2 linked regions of the Drosophila melanogaster genome follow. The protein of the gene in region 1 interacts with the protein of each later gene in a pairwise test. Each region holds a gene or a part of one and is shown on either strand. Other genes may lie near its edges.

Region 1 (5,819 bases):
ACAAAATGACAACGAAAAAAAAAAACAACAAAAAATCTCACGAATTAAAGATTTATAAGTTTTTTACTAAGTTACCAGGCCCGCACGTTTTGTTAGTCTGTGGATAACATTTTCCATCCGCTTTCAATTGATATCCTAATGAACGATAAAACCAAAAATAATATAATAATAATACATTGGTTTTTCATATACTTTTTTAAAATTATCAGTTAAAGCATTGAGTAGTTCTATAAATAGTCATACACAGCTGCTGATTAAATTGGGCACCATTTTTGGTACAGCGAGATTAACCATTTTTTCAGAGATTTCTTACCTGTTTGACAAACGAAAGAGCTTTGCCACACGCCGTTGACATCCTGATATCCCTGCGGAGATGTCGGCTTCTAGGGGAATATATTTGTATAAGAATAGACACCAATCCTCAGAGTAAACCACATTCGGTTACCGCGATGTATGCTTGAGCACTTCCGCAAGGCACAAGGGTGATCAGGCAGGCAACCAGGGCCGATCTGAATGACTTCACAAGCATACTGTTTAACTTGCTTGCTGATCCGGGAGCTGAGACACAGATTCGCGATGTACGGCGGTCCGCACTAGGCGAGAGACTAATCGAAGCGACGCTGAGCTCGCTGGGATGCCTTTGGAAAGCATAATTGCTGGCGCTGCGATAACCTTCGTGTTCCAGATAACGGTGAAGGTCGCTTGGGCTGCAGCTTCAGCCGTTCCTAATCCGTCACCGGTGAGCCGGGATCAGTTCGAATCGAAATGTCTGACAGTGAAGTGGGTTTCCGTGTGCAACGGCTGCTGCTGTTAATCTGTCTTGGACTATTTCCCGCGACGGTTATCACCAATTATACACCAAATCCCTGCCAAAATGGTAAGTTCGACTTGGAAGCGTTTATCCGTCAGTCCACTGATGACATCATTCACATCTTAGGTCAGGTTAATGCTTATATCGTTTGCAGCCCCATTATTTTGAATATGTATAGTAACCTGTGCGGAGGTCAAACGGGGATTCAATGCAATCCTTCCAATCCTGTGACTACTGTTGTTCCTGGTACCCCCGGTTGCCCTAACACTCCTCAATATCCTACAGTGGTTCCGAATAATCCATTTAATCCCAATGTAAATGTTGTTCCTGGTACTCCCGGTTGCCCCAACACTCCTCAATATCCTACAGTGGTTCCGAATAATACATTTAATCCCAATGTAAATGTTGTTCCTGCTACTCCCGGTTGCCCCAACACTCCTCAATATCCTACAGTGGTTCCGAATAATACATTTAATCCCAATGTAAATGTTGTTCCTAGTACTCCCGGTTGTCCCAACACTCCTCAATATCCTACAGTGGTTCCGAATAATACATTTAATCCCAATGTAAATGTTGTTCCTGCTACTCCCGGTTGCCCCAACACTCCTCAATATCCTACAGTGGTTCCAGATAAGCCACTTTGTCCCAATACACCAACAACTCCAGCTTGTCCCAATGCCAATGGTCCGAGTTCCTGTAATTCGAACGGCCCATCTTCGTATCCCACGAACGGTCCTAGTATCAATGCTCCTTCCCCAACTTCTCCACCAACTACCACTCCCCCAAGTGTTACTGAGCAACCAGCGCCTGCACCTCCAGCAAATCCAACACCACCACCTCGACCGATCCCAGTCCCAGTCACTACGCCGCCACCGGATCCCATTATCCGGTGTCCGGAGGGAACAATTTTGGTGAAAGGTGTTTGCCGTCTACTTTTCTGCGGGGAAAATAGCTTGTACATCGAAGGACGCTGCATTCAGACCCGCTGTCCTGCTGGATATGTTTGGACGGGTATCCGGTGCTCGAAGCCTCAGCCATTGGAGCTCGGTAACATCCACATAGAGAACACTGTCCACCAGCTCCCAGGAGCTCTGCCCCACCTGATCACCAACAATGTTAACCACGTCATGGTAAACGCCTCCATCACAATCCCAGAACAAGCCTCCGAAGAGGAAGAGGAGCTGGTGGAAGTGGTGGCGCCACCACAGTCACCCTCAAGCCCCTGCTGCAACGTATTCGCTCCGCGGGTCTGCGCCACCCAGGCGGGTCAAGACGGATACAAGTGCTTCAGCAGGAGTCATCATCAGTGCGGTTCCGTCTGCAGTGCCAGGAAGGTGATGCTCGCTCCGGCCGCAGTAGCCAGCTGGACTCAGTCCAACAGCCAGATGGTGACCATCCCTCCCAACTGGGCGGGTCAGGCCTGTCAGTCCAATAATGGGATTTGCCAGCAGCCCCAGAGTGAGTTCAGTAAAGATAGTTGTTACATGCAAAGTAAAGTCCAATTTCATCGTTTTTTGTCCACTTTAGACTTCTACGACTGCAGTGGCTGTGCTATGGGTAACCTTTCGACCTGCTCCTCGTACTGCTACTCCTACAAATGCAGCACCCACAACTGCGTATATTACGACCAGGCCCAATACTGCTCCCAATATGCAGGTCAAACCGGATGCCGTGCGGAAGATGGATGGATGGATTAACACTCGCCAAGCGCAAATTATTGAAAACGTGCTTATCATTATGCAATCAATACCACTCAAAAAACAATAAAAAAAATAAAGCAATTAATAAAGAAAAACAAATTATAATAATCTTTTTTATAATACTTGAGAGCCTTTTTGATAGTTAAAGCCTCTCACAATTCCGTTCAACCTTAAACTTTTTCAGTAATAGTTTTGTCGTCATAGGGGCCATAGTGTTGATGTGATATTTCCGAATATTCAATTCTGAGCTTAAAATTGTGGAAAGCGGATGTGTCTATAATTTAGGTTAATGTCTTAGACAATAATTATTTGTGTAAGTGTACAAATTATAATAGCATTTATCTTATCTCCAAATATCGACTGATGATTATAAATTAAATGATAAGATTAGATTACCCTACGTGCTTCAGCAGAGCTTAGCTCTTTTCTTGAAAGCTCCAATACTCTTACATTAGGGCGGGGATAAGCAATATGTAAGTGCTCTAGTTAACTCCTCCCTTACTGTTTAATAAGAGTGTCCTGATTGACTCAGAGTTAATAGATGGCTCATTGTTTAGAAGTTTATTAGCTGCATTATTGCTGGTACTATGTCGGTTATCGTTCTAGAACCTATGGTTGTACGACTGCGAATTTTGAAAATTTATCTATACAGCTATCTATTCTGGAACAATGTTTTGTAGAGCGATAAAAGCTCTTTTGAGTTTCACAGCTTAAAGAAAATTTTTTTTTTCAGATTACCGTAACAATATTGGAAAAAAGTGGCACCAGTATATCAGAGAATAAGTCATTCATCAGGGTCTGTTTATGTTTTGGGGATGCGTAGCCTTCACTGGCTTGGGAGATTTGGTTCCTGTTGATGGATTTTCCTGTAAGTAAATGAGTTAAAAACAAATATATTGAATATATTACTTGTCTTAATACTTATGCCCACTAGTGTATTTAACCTCTGATTTCCAAATTGAGTGAAAGCTTCGCTAGTAATCAATTCTTTGATAGTGTTATCTAACCTTATCTTCGAAGGTAGGTTCCAGGTGCCGTGATGATGATGGTGCCATAGCCTCCACTCAACCACTGCAGTTCACACTGCACTTTACGCATAGCCGGTCGTCCCAGAAATTTGAAGAGCCAAACAGTTGATAATGGCACATTCAATGGTGAGTTACCGGGATCAGGAAAGTCCTGGAATTCGCAGCGCTTTTAAGCCCCAATAAAACAAAATTTCTGCAAGTATTGTTAATATTTTTCCACCAAAAATCAGCAAAAAAAAAGTTTGTACTTTAATCTAATCATGTGTACAGAAAAATGTCAAAGAAATTGATAATGGTTTTCATCAGCGATGAGTAATTTCTTCGACCTATTAGCTCAATTAAAGAATAGGGGAAAAACACAAATGCAAAAAAATTAATTGAGTTTTTAACTATTTTCGCAGCTGAAACTGGGGATGATGTGTGGAATACTCCACCTGCTGACCTTTGGAGTCATTGCCGAGGATCAGCTGAAAAACAACACAATAGTGGTACATACTCCTCTCCAGAACTACGATCAACCCAATCTCCAGGACTACGAGGAATGCCAGGTGAACAGGGACAATTGCATCAATGTTTGCGCTGGCAAACAGTCGTGCGAGGACGAGTGTCCTGTGTGCCCGGACCTGTACGTCAAGCCCCTGATGGTTCAGGGCATTAACGATACGAATATAGTGGCACCACCCCAGGTACCTATTAATACGACCAACATTATTCGGCTGACCAACGATATCAACAATATAATCGAACATCAAATCCAAAATCGCAATGAGGTCAATGTCCAGGTGAATCAGAATGTCTCGAAGGTGGGAGGACGTTTTGGACTGGGCTACACTGACAAGGGATCGTGCTGTTATGTGGTGCGTTTGGATCGCGAGTGTAAGAATGAAGATGGACGCGACTGCAGAGAAAGAAGCCGTCAGCGGATCTGTGGCGAAAAGTGTCAGGCCAGAGTGATGTTGGCCAAAATAGTGGTGCAGTGTGAAGCCGAGGACTCCGACAGGTGTCACGAAACCATCGAATATGTGCCACGGAGGAGGAGAACCCTCCAGCGGAGGACACCCAAGGCTACACGGTGTCATTACACTGGCAACAGTTGGCCCTACTTCAATTGCGGACAGAATCCAGGCCAAAATAGTGATTTTGCCCAGCCGACGAGGCCTAAGACCTCTATCTGCGAGCACTGCCTCAATTATCCCTACGGATACATTCTGCAAAATGGTCTGCCCGCCCAGTGTGCCGGTTGTTTCCAGGGATACGGAGCTCCCCTCATGTATAATCCTCCTTGGATGTACAATCCATATTATGTGGCATATCCAGCCTTTAACAATATACCGGCCATACAGAACAATAATAATGGCAACAGCGGTGACACCAGTGTAGATAAAACCATTGCAGATGATGATGACGATGGATGGACTCTATGTGACGACATCGAAAAATGCCTAGACGCGGAATACAAAGGCTCGCAGAACAGCGGGTCACCTGAACATCTGGTCGACGACGACGACTACAACGTTTCAGTTCAGCGAAGGAGACGCCGTCCAAGCCGTCACCACTTTGTGAGATCAGCCTACAGCAAACGCAATCGCAAGCACAACTGATCAATTCCAGATGAAACCACAAACTCTTTAGATTTTCTGCAAACCTTTTGCTTCAGAAAGAAATAGTCTAGAAATATTGTATTTCTGATTAACCAAAACTAAGGTGTCTTCATATAACTACTACATTTCTCTACATATTTTACTGAATAAAAGTGTTTTTGCTAACCAAATGAATAAATACAAATGCTATCGAATTCAAAGTGTCGACGGAAAGTTATACATAAATGTATGTATAAATTGCTGCCTGAAAGCTTTGAATATAATTTCATTTCCTTTACAATGTACATAGGTCCGATAAATGAGTGTACTTTAAATAACGATTTATTTGATACGCAGGGTATGAAGCTGGGTGACAGGGCGGGGAGACCTCGTTCTCCTTATGGACTAAACAACGTTTAATAAAATCTGGACTCGTCCTGCTCGAATGCTTACGCTTGCGATCTGGGCATACATAATATTAATAATTTGATTAGATGTGAAAACATTTGTTCTGGCATTTCAATTGCAGGTAGATAGTTTCGAAGGCATCCGGGCAAGAGTTTAGCCCGTATCTCGATGAACATTGGTGGAACAAGACAACTGGAACTTATGGTAATATTGCGCGTGTGTTGATTTTAATTGGTTTGTTCGCTACAAATATAAGGGCCTTCCATTTGGCAGAGAACTCTACTTAATCCCC
Region 2 (9,236 bases), on another chromosome or scaffold:
TTTCTCGCTCTACATCCGGCTTTGTGAATCGTGCATCACTCATCATGACAAAGATTTTGGTCTCCTCGACAGAATTCCGCTGTGGGAATAGCACAATTGTGGATCAATGAGTCAACAGGGGAAACGGACATCCGAGTCGAGACACACCGTTCGTGGATCCAGATCGGCCATGCGGAAGAAGATGAGCTTATTTCCCTGGGGAGTGACTCCGGGTAATATCAAAAGGTCCCTGTGAAGGGCAAATGTTAATACTCGCTCATTGAATCTTTTGCTGCACTTACGAAACCCTCAGGCCCTCGGCGGTCATCTCGTCCTCCATGTTGCGATCCATGAACAGATGTGGGCTCTTATTGCGCATACAATAATTTAGCTCCGCCAGGGCCTTGGTGCGTTCCACATCAAAAGCCGTGCACTTGAGGAATCGTAGCATAACTATTGGTTCTATCGGGAAGAATTGGAAATTTTGATAAGCTAGATGCTACTGCACTCACAACAAAAGATACATTGCAACTATATGAAGATAGAATTCTCAATTCTCAATCAATGTCCAATGTATCTGTGTGCATATGGCACTAGCTAAGTGCATGTCAGTCCAACTTCAGCAAGGAGGAAGTGCCTTGCTATCACTGGAGGTGCCTAATGCACTTGACCTTTGGCACTGCTCTGTTACAAGGTTTATGGATTGTTACCACAACAGGTTATTGCGCGCCCATTAATTCCGTCTGCCACTTGACTGGTTATCAATCGGAGCGAAACGCATTTGAAATCGATTCCAGTGACTCACTTACCGATCTTCTCGGGCAGATTGGGATTGGCCTCGAACCAGGCGACCAGATCCGTCAGCTTGTCGCTCCATCCAGTTGCTGGCGAAGCGCTGGTCTCGGGGGCGGAGTCCTTATCCCCTGTATCTTTATCCATTGTTGTAGCCCAATGCGTCTCTCAGGGGCCGCAGAAAGCCACTAACTAAGCAAGTAACTTAGCTAAGTACCCCCAATTGATAAAGCTAACTAGCCCGATCGCACACACACATCCGCTGGAAATGATACGAGTGTGTGACCACTATTCGGACGCGATCTTTAGCTTTTCGCGATCGGATCGGCGAGTGAAAGCTCCAATGCAAAGCTCCACTAGCAGCCGCACAGATGAGTCCAGTTGTTTGCAATTAAGCAAAGACGAGGGCGGTTTTAATTGCTCCATTGGAGAGCAAGCCGAATCAGCAATACACTCACTAATAGACTTGTTTTGAAATCTTTATTGGATCTGGAGATGGACACCTACAATATACAACACACATCCAATACACGTAGAACTCGATCTTATCGTACTTGGCTTCCTGTCCCACCGGTTTAATTCGTTTGCGACCAGCTTTGTTCAGTATTCAGATGGAACCAGCGCTAAGAAAAAATATATAGTATGTCTATGCCTATGTCTATGTGTACATGTATATGTATATATACTCGTAGTATATGGCTAGCAACATACTCGTAATACTTAGCCCGATGTATGAAATCGTCAAGGGTCGCAAAATGGTTACTCTCAAAATTTTTAAAATGTTAACATTGTTGCTTTTAGACCTTAGACCTTAGGATTTCACCTTGTTATCATAACAGTTTGCAGCTAGTTTTATCTGAATCTGGTTCTGGATCTGGATCTGGTTCTGGATCTGAATCGGGATGCATCTATGGGGGTAGGCAAAAGTGGAGGGTCTCGAAACCTATATAACGCACATAACACCGACAACACATACATACATAACATGCTTTAACTCTGGAGCGGATCGGATAAGATCTCTCTTCGGCTTATAAACTGCAAACTGGAGTTCCAATTAAATACACCTATGCCTTGGAGTTTACATTAGGAAATACACACAAAAACCTTTTTTTGGAGGAGCCTTTGGCGAAATACATAAATGTATACAGATACGGCAATTGATATCGTATCCATTTATCATCTCAGATCGGATATACTGGTACATATATAACGTTCTACATGCTAGATGCTTATTGTGGCTCATAAAGCTCTTCTCTCCTCTTCTCATGTTCTTCCTCTCTTGCTCGCTCGCTCGCTCGCTCGCTCACTCTCTCTCTCTCTCTCTCTCTCTCTCTCTCTCTCTCTCTCTTGCTTACTCCCTTTCTCTCTATTTCTCTATTTGATAGATAGGTTATAGACATGGAACAACATTACTGGCACTGGCAAATGCTATAAATTGAGAATGCACCCACTGAGAAGGGAACCCCCCATGAGTGTAGATCAAACCTATTAACTAGTCTTATCCTCTAGGCTCGTGGACAGAGGTCAATAGCCGGCTTTGCCCCCAGTTAAAACATCCTTCAAACTGTATCCCTCTCCGAATCGACCAACTTCTGTCCACAGAGCTTGAAGTGTAGCTTGCGTCGCTTGACTTGTGTCTGTCGTTCCATACTGACGGGCTGCGATTCGAGCAGATCTGGCCGCCGACCCGGATCCGGATCCAGTTCTCCGTCCGTATCCGTATCCGAAACATGTCACATGGTGTGCGTCCGGGCCACGACATCCCGTCGCATTCGTCGGGACTAGCTGAAGATGCTGCGTCATAAGCTGACGAGCGTCGCCTTGCGTTGCGCCTCCAATCGGATTTCCAGAGTGGCATATGGCGGCACACTGATGACGAGGAGCACCACCAATGCAATGATCTTCATCGATTCGCAGAGGAAGCCGTGACCGGCAAAGGTCAATCCCAGTCCCAGGAAGCGAAGGGCAAGAAGAGGCGCCTGGACCTCCGTTACATGACTGGAATGGTTGAGGGTGACCAGCGAGAGCAGGAGCGTCTCCCACATCCCATTACAGGCACCCCACGAGGCGGCAATCACGTAGAACAGGGCGCTGTCGTCACTCGAGGGCTTCCAACTGGACAGCGCCAGCAGTAGACAGGAGTGGAAGAAGAAACCAGCCACTGCAAAGAGAAGAGCGTTGTAACTTCGAGTACCCTGTGTCCATCTGGTGGTACTCACAAATCACGACGATCCTCTTGACGTGCCTTAGCAGCATGCTCAAGGTACAGGAGACGATGAGCTGCATCAGACCCATGCCAATCAACGCGCCGGCAATCATTCCGATGCCCAGCGAACAGGTGACGAAGGCCCTCAAGAAGTCACCCATCATATACGCCTGTTCCGTGCCCACAAAATAGGCCAGGGGTCCGGCAAACAGCAGGGTGTCCGTGATGCTTACATCTCTCGAACGCTCCGGTCGCGATGAGCCTATGGCCTGCACCTTGTCCACCACTATCAGCAGCGAAAGGGTCAATGATACCATGGAGAACAGAACGTACAGCCAGAGCAAGGATTGCCCGGCCACTCGAGGCTCACTTTCGATGAAGCCAGCATAGATGGAACTGGGTATGGAGCTCCCATTGGCCCATCCCGCCTCCAGGATTGACTGCACTCTGAGTGGACACATGTCTGCCCCACAGATCCTGTCGCCGTGCTCGTTCCTATTGTAGAAATCCCTCAGTTGTGGTGGCCAGCTCTCGTTTCCATAGTAAACCAATCCGGAGCAATCGCCCGTAAAGTTTCCATCGCTGCAGGCCAGCAAAATGGATGCCAGAAGGGCTCCTCCTATGAGACCCAGGTCCTGGGAAACCCTGAACCACCTGGCCAGACGCCTCACCTTCTGATCCCGATTGCAAAACATCTTGTGCTCCTCGTGCAAGACATCGACCGCCGCCTGCGACTGCTGGGAATCGCAGGAGCAGCTCAACTTCCCTCCAAAGTGGACAATCAACGCGGCTTTGGAGCCAGCGGATCCGCTTAAGGTCATGCCAAGCAGCAAATAGGCGGGTAGAAGGGTGTAAATGGAGGCGTACAGGTGCGACAGAAGAAATAGGAGCACTGTCATATAGTTTGCCACAATTAGTGGCCCATAACCATATCGTTTCATCAGTCGAATGCTGGGCAGGCTCATACCAGCGGCGACCAGGAAGAGAGCACTCAGCAGAAGGGATCCAACCTCCGGACCGAGGGGCAACCATTCCTCCCGATGGTGCCACACCGCATTGGAGCCCTGGAGCGCCATCACCGGCAGCAGAACGCAGTTCATCAGTCCGTGGGCCAAGCTTAAACAGCTAAACTGGCGCCACACTTTTTGGCGCACATGGGCTGGCACCTTGTGCCGGCAATTCCTGTTGTTCAGCGTTATCAATCGCCGTATGGAGGTGGCTCCAATGGAGCTGTTTATGGACTCCCGACGACGAGAGGCCGCCAGAGCAGCCTGCACCTGGTACGAGGACACCGGATTTATGCGATGCGACCTCGTCGAAATGGGTGACGGCGAGTATGTGGTGAAGTGCTGCTGGAAAAGATGCAAGAAAAGGGTATTAGGATATAGCAAGAATCCAATCATCTGGCAGGCTAATGGTATTACAGCCAGCTACCTTTCACTTTAACAATAGCAAAGGGGGAGTAGTCGGAGTAGGGAAGTAGTTGTAGTTCAACTTGGAAAGAGAGTCCGTGTCCGAACACTCACCTTTCACGACACACCAATGACCACAGGGCACCCCTTTTGTGCACACATCGCCACATGATAGTTGAGTGTCCAGGAAAAAAGGGAGATAAGCTCCCAGATTCTATTTATATGCGACAGGTGTCACCATGCCGGAAAGCAAGTGACATGAATTATATAAAGGCTTTTCACACAGAGGCGGACTTTTTATGTGTTCACCTGAGAACTCACCTCCATCATCTGCTCTTCCCAGACGTTCTGGGCTCCTCCTGAACTGCGGGTTCGAAGCACTCTGTGCCTGGTGGTCAGCGAATGGCGGTGCTGATGGTGCTGGTGCTGGTGCTGATGCTGGTGCTGATGCTGATGGTGGTGTGAGTGTGGGGCATACTTCTTGCCCAGTCCCAGCATCGCAAAGCCACTGGTGGCCACCGGAGCTCCCGAGCTGGTGGCCAATCCAGAAGCTGGGCCCACTGCCTGGTTCGGACCCTTTCCGCCAGTTGTCCCATTGCCACCGAGCAGCTCTCCGTTGCCTGTTGCAGTTCCTGAGGTGGCATTGAGGCTCAAGGATCCGCCACCAATCCCCAGACCAGCCATTATGTAAGCATTATACGACGATTGCTGAGTGGAGTAGAAAAATACATAAGTCGTAAGGAGGGGGGATCTACTCAGGCGATCTCACCTTGCGCTGCTGAGCAAACGCGGAGAGACGCTCCCGCTCGCGACTGGTGTCCCGAGCCCGCTGCTCCAGCAGAAGTTCGTACTCCCGTCGCTTCTCCCGCTTGCGCTCCGCCTCCTCCAGCTCGTGAAGATTCGGCAGACTGCCCATTTCCGGCGATTATTGCCAACTTATCAAAACCTAGCGCCCGTAGTGCGAGTTATGTGGATTGTGGGGCCACTGCGAATCCAGTACTGCCATCGCTCCAAAACGGCGAACTCATGCTGCTGCTCCACGGGCATCCCATTCCAATCCAGTCTGCAATTATTGTCCTTGCTGCGTAGGCGGGTTCATTGTCCGCCGCCGACCTGCCACGCCCCCAATTCCGCGTATAAGGCTGTGTCAAAACGCAAATATTGTTCTCCTGCAGCGGAATGACTGTGAAGTGGAAACAGGAAATGAAAAAGTTGCGAGGCCTGAACGGCAGCGCCATCTATCGGCTGCTTATCGAGTTGACACCTGCACCTGGAAACCGTTACTCGCACACACACACACATACACCTGGCCGTACGTGCACTGCATACTTATGTGGGCCATAGGCCCTACGTATGCGCACATGTTCTTTCCGTTGCCGTTACCGTTACTTACTCACTACATTCTGGCACATTCACTGGCACTCGCGGTCGCAAAAATAGGATGGTGGGAATAATAAGCTTCTAGGCTAGCTAATCCTAATCTGATTGAAGTCCTAAGGAAGTGGCACCTTAATGCTCACCAATTAGATTGAGTTTCCACTAGTAGGATTACTTGGCAACTCAATAATGTGCCTATTAGCCGCTGCTATTAGTGCAGCCGCGAGTATAGCTCCCTTGGCCGTAGGAACTTCGCACACACACCCCACCCCCCACACTGGCACAAAATCATCAGGTGTGTCCATTTTGTGTTATCTACACATGTGCAGCCGATGGTGCCCCAGGGTCAGGTATTCCGAGGTATATTTCCAGGACACGACGGGATGGTGCAGGACAAGATCCTGGGGATGCCCGGAGGGAACAGGTCCCGAAGACAATGGCACAGTACTTTGCAGCCCATAATCAACTCATAAACATCATAAACTAACCCCCACCCCTCACGAACACCACACACCCATGAAGTGAACTGCGATGGAGGCGTAGTTTTGGGCCCACGCCCCTTGGGCCAGGAAAAGTGGGTGGGAGTTATAAAAAATGCAAAGAGGGCGGATGGAAAACGAATATGAATATTTTAAAACCAAACAAAGACGGGCACAGAAAAGCGCACACACACTCTCGATGCAATGCTCCCTTGAAATCCTCTTGGCCTGTACACATGTATCCACAAACGGAACCCCGTTCAGCAAACTAAAAAAAAAAATCGAATAATATACTTTGTTTATTACTTTTGATTTCTCGGTTGACTGGAATGCACTTTTTTTCGACGAGTCGGAAACAAATTGTTTGTAAGCCTTCAAAGAAGCCAGCACTTTCGCCACTCAACACTCCACAAAACACCGCCGCACGCGAACTGCTCCAGAAACACACTGAAAAGCTGGTAGGGATTACGGCCTGGCGATTCTGAGTCCGCTGCTGAAATTGTTGTCATCTCAGGCCTTCGGCAGCATCTCGCACATCCCACCTCGCATCCCAGGCATGCGCAATCGATACTCGTTACCCCACAATCCCCAGTTCACTCGGGGAAGGGATGGGATGTCATGGCTGTGGCTGCACCGCCACAAAACGATACCATCCCATATTACAACTGCTCTGCGCAAAAGAAACCCCCATACAATGCATTTTGAGTGCTCATTACGGCCATTACCGAATCGATATTCTCGAAATGAACGAGCCGAACTGGCTCGACGTTCAAAACTGCATAAAAAAGGCGTCGTCTATGATTTGGATTTATTTAAAAACTAACTGCAATTGGCTAACAACAAACACGTGCATGGCATGGCGATAATCGGTTAAGTTTTACTTCTGAACAAAGGGCTAACAAATCGTGCCCGGATCAGATTAAGAACAGAAACGAACAGGTAACGCTAATAGATATCGAAATGCAATTGGCGGACCAGTGAGATCCGTTGTCATATCGGGCTAGTTGAACTTTGTCTTTGGATCGCACATTTATAGTAGAGTAGAATAGAGGCATTTCCGTTTCCAAATCCGTTTTGAATCGTCTTCCTTTCTAGTATTTTACTCTTTAACAATTTGTCTTGCACAAGTTTCTGTATTTTTGGGACGATAATTAGATAGGAAATAAAACACACGTCTTTATACACTTGCCACATTTCAGAACGGATGGGCAAACGGAAAGGCCGGGAGTGAGTAATTCTATTGGGGTAGATTGATTTGAGCTTTATCAGGTCGCGCTGTCTAGTCCGCTGGATATCCAAAGCTGAGGTGAAGATTGCACCACCGCCGGTGCTTACCACCCAGGGTGGACTCCTCGCGCCGTACGGCACTTAAAAACGGATTATCTTCAAAGTCAAAGTTGCCCAAATGCGAACGCAGATCGCCTGACGCCACTGGTAACAGTTGGCCATTGGGCAAGCCCATTTGCAGGCGCACGCACTGCTCCACGATGAACTTGAGTGCCGCACGGCGATGCAGCTCGAAGCAATCCCGCGATCCGTACATCAAGCGCTGCTCGGCACACAGACGCATATCGTTGGCGGCAACGTTGCAGCAGTAAAGAAATGATATTAGCCTTTGCTTGCTCACGGAACTCAGATCCACATGTGGTAGCAAGAGACCCAGCAGATCCTCAGCGTTGGCTTCACATTCCAGGCCATAGCTTGTCATTAGATGCTGCAGACTGGCCAACGTAGACGAACCACTGGCTCCGGAATCCTTGGGAAGGGCAAAACTGAGCTCATATGCACGACTCAGGAGCACTTGGCGGTAGTGGTAGCAGCTGTAGTCACTGATGTGCTTCCGCATAAACTTCTCCGTGCGTAGCAGTTCCGATTGCAGCAGGCATGGGCCGTTCTGAAGGATCCACTGGCGGTGCGACCAGGCGTGATAGTTGCTGGCGCATCTATCGGCGGCCCTTTCGCATATCCCGATCTCATTGGGCCAGTCAATAGCATCGGCACCTGGAAATAATGGAATGAAATGGGATCCCCAGTTGCCGACGTCCACTTACTTTGAAATGAGTACAGCCAACGGCGGTAGGCGAATGCTTCATTGGACTTCGGTTTGATTGAGAGCACGAGTGCGGAGAACTGCAGCTCCTTGTTGATGCTCAGCCGATTCTTTTGCACCAGCTGACGGCGGATGTGCCAAAAGGTGGTCACATCGGGATTAATCAGCAGAGCCACGTTTAGGTATTTGGCCAGGGAGTCGCTCTGCTGCTGCTGCTGCAGCGTCCGCAGCTGTTGCGCCGTGGTTTGACGGCGATGGGAGATGAGGGTGCGGTGGGCGTGGTCGTAGACATGCTGGGCACACCACGATTCCAGGCCCAGATTGTGCTCCACATGCACAACCGGCGATTTGTTGCAGTTGGCTTCTTTGGGTATAATTTCAAAGGAGGCGCTGGTGGAGAAAAGAACAATATATTCGGACATCAAGGCTTGCTTTCATTGCTAACAGTCTGATTAGATCTATAGTAGAACTAAATGCTGGACTCACAGATCCTGATCCTTGAGGAACACCGCATTGATGTCCCTGATGATCTTCTCGCAGAGCACCTTTTTCTCGTTGCGTTCCTCCTCCATGGAATTTGAGTATAGTCCGAACGTGGAATTTCAATGGGGATGTGGTTTTTGCTTCCTCGGGGATCTCGCTTCCGTTCCGTTCGATTCGAGGGTCTCAGGCACATTGATTGCCTCCAATTAATATGAACATGCTCAATGTCTCCGGTTAATTAAGATTTGGAAAGGGGAGGAAGAGGAGAAGATGGCGGAGGCTGGAACCCTGTCTACGCGACTATGGAACCCCCAAAGGCGGCCGCATCACAACAAATAAATTTCAATTAAGCCGGGGCCTGGACACGAGATCTAGCCTTTATTATTATTATTATTTCAGTGCCCAGTGCGAGGGGCTGTCAATCTGGTTCACCCCAAAGCGCGGTTCTCCGGCGGATC

Evidence for each region. The genes of interacting proteins can lie anywhere in the genome.
Region 2: the proteins of CG3987 (region 1) and CG3078 interact in a two-hybrid assay, tested with the Drosophila melanogaster proteins (one large-scale study listed by BioGRID).

What each region holds. Positions count from the first base shown.
Region 1 is NT_033777.3:15,136,397-15,142,215, forward strand, and holds CG3987 (uncharacterized protein), read left to right. Parts: upstream 1-3,561; 5' UTR 3,562-3,650; coding exon 3,651-3,665; exon of another isoform or gene 3,666-3,725; intron 3,726-3,940; coding exon 3,941-5,140; 3' UTR 5,141-5,319; downstream 5,320-5,819. Other genes in the region: CG6912 (uncharacterized protein), read right to left, coding at 76-135, 314-383, 446-529; CG3984 (uncharacterized protein), read left to right, coding at 766-877, 938-2,269, 2,339-2,508; Glys (glycogen synthase), read right to left, coding at 5,807-5,819.
Region 2 is NC_004354.4:2,253,170-2,262,405, forward strand, and holds CG3078 (uncharacterized protein), read right to left. Parts: upstream 6,695-9,236; 5' UTR 6,552-6,694; intron 5,573-6,551; 5' UTR 5,306-5,572; coding exon 5,159-5,305; intron 5,098-5,158; coding exon 4,711-5,097; intron 4,330-4,710; coding exon 2,991-4,329; intron 2,933-2,990; coding exon 2,571-2,932; coding exon of another isoform or gene 2,505-2,570; 3' UTR 1,234-2,504; downstream 1-1,233. Other genes in the region: CG3091 (uncharacterized protein), read right to left, coding at 1-79, 148-229, 282-441, 789-918; temp (tempura), read right to left, coding at 7,525-8,246, 8,297-8,685, 8,782-8,867.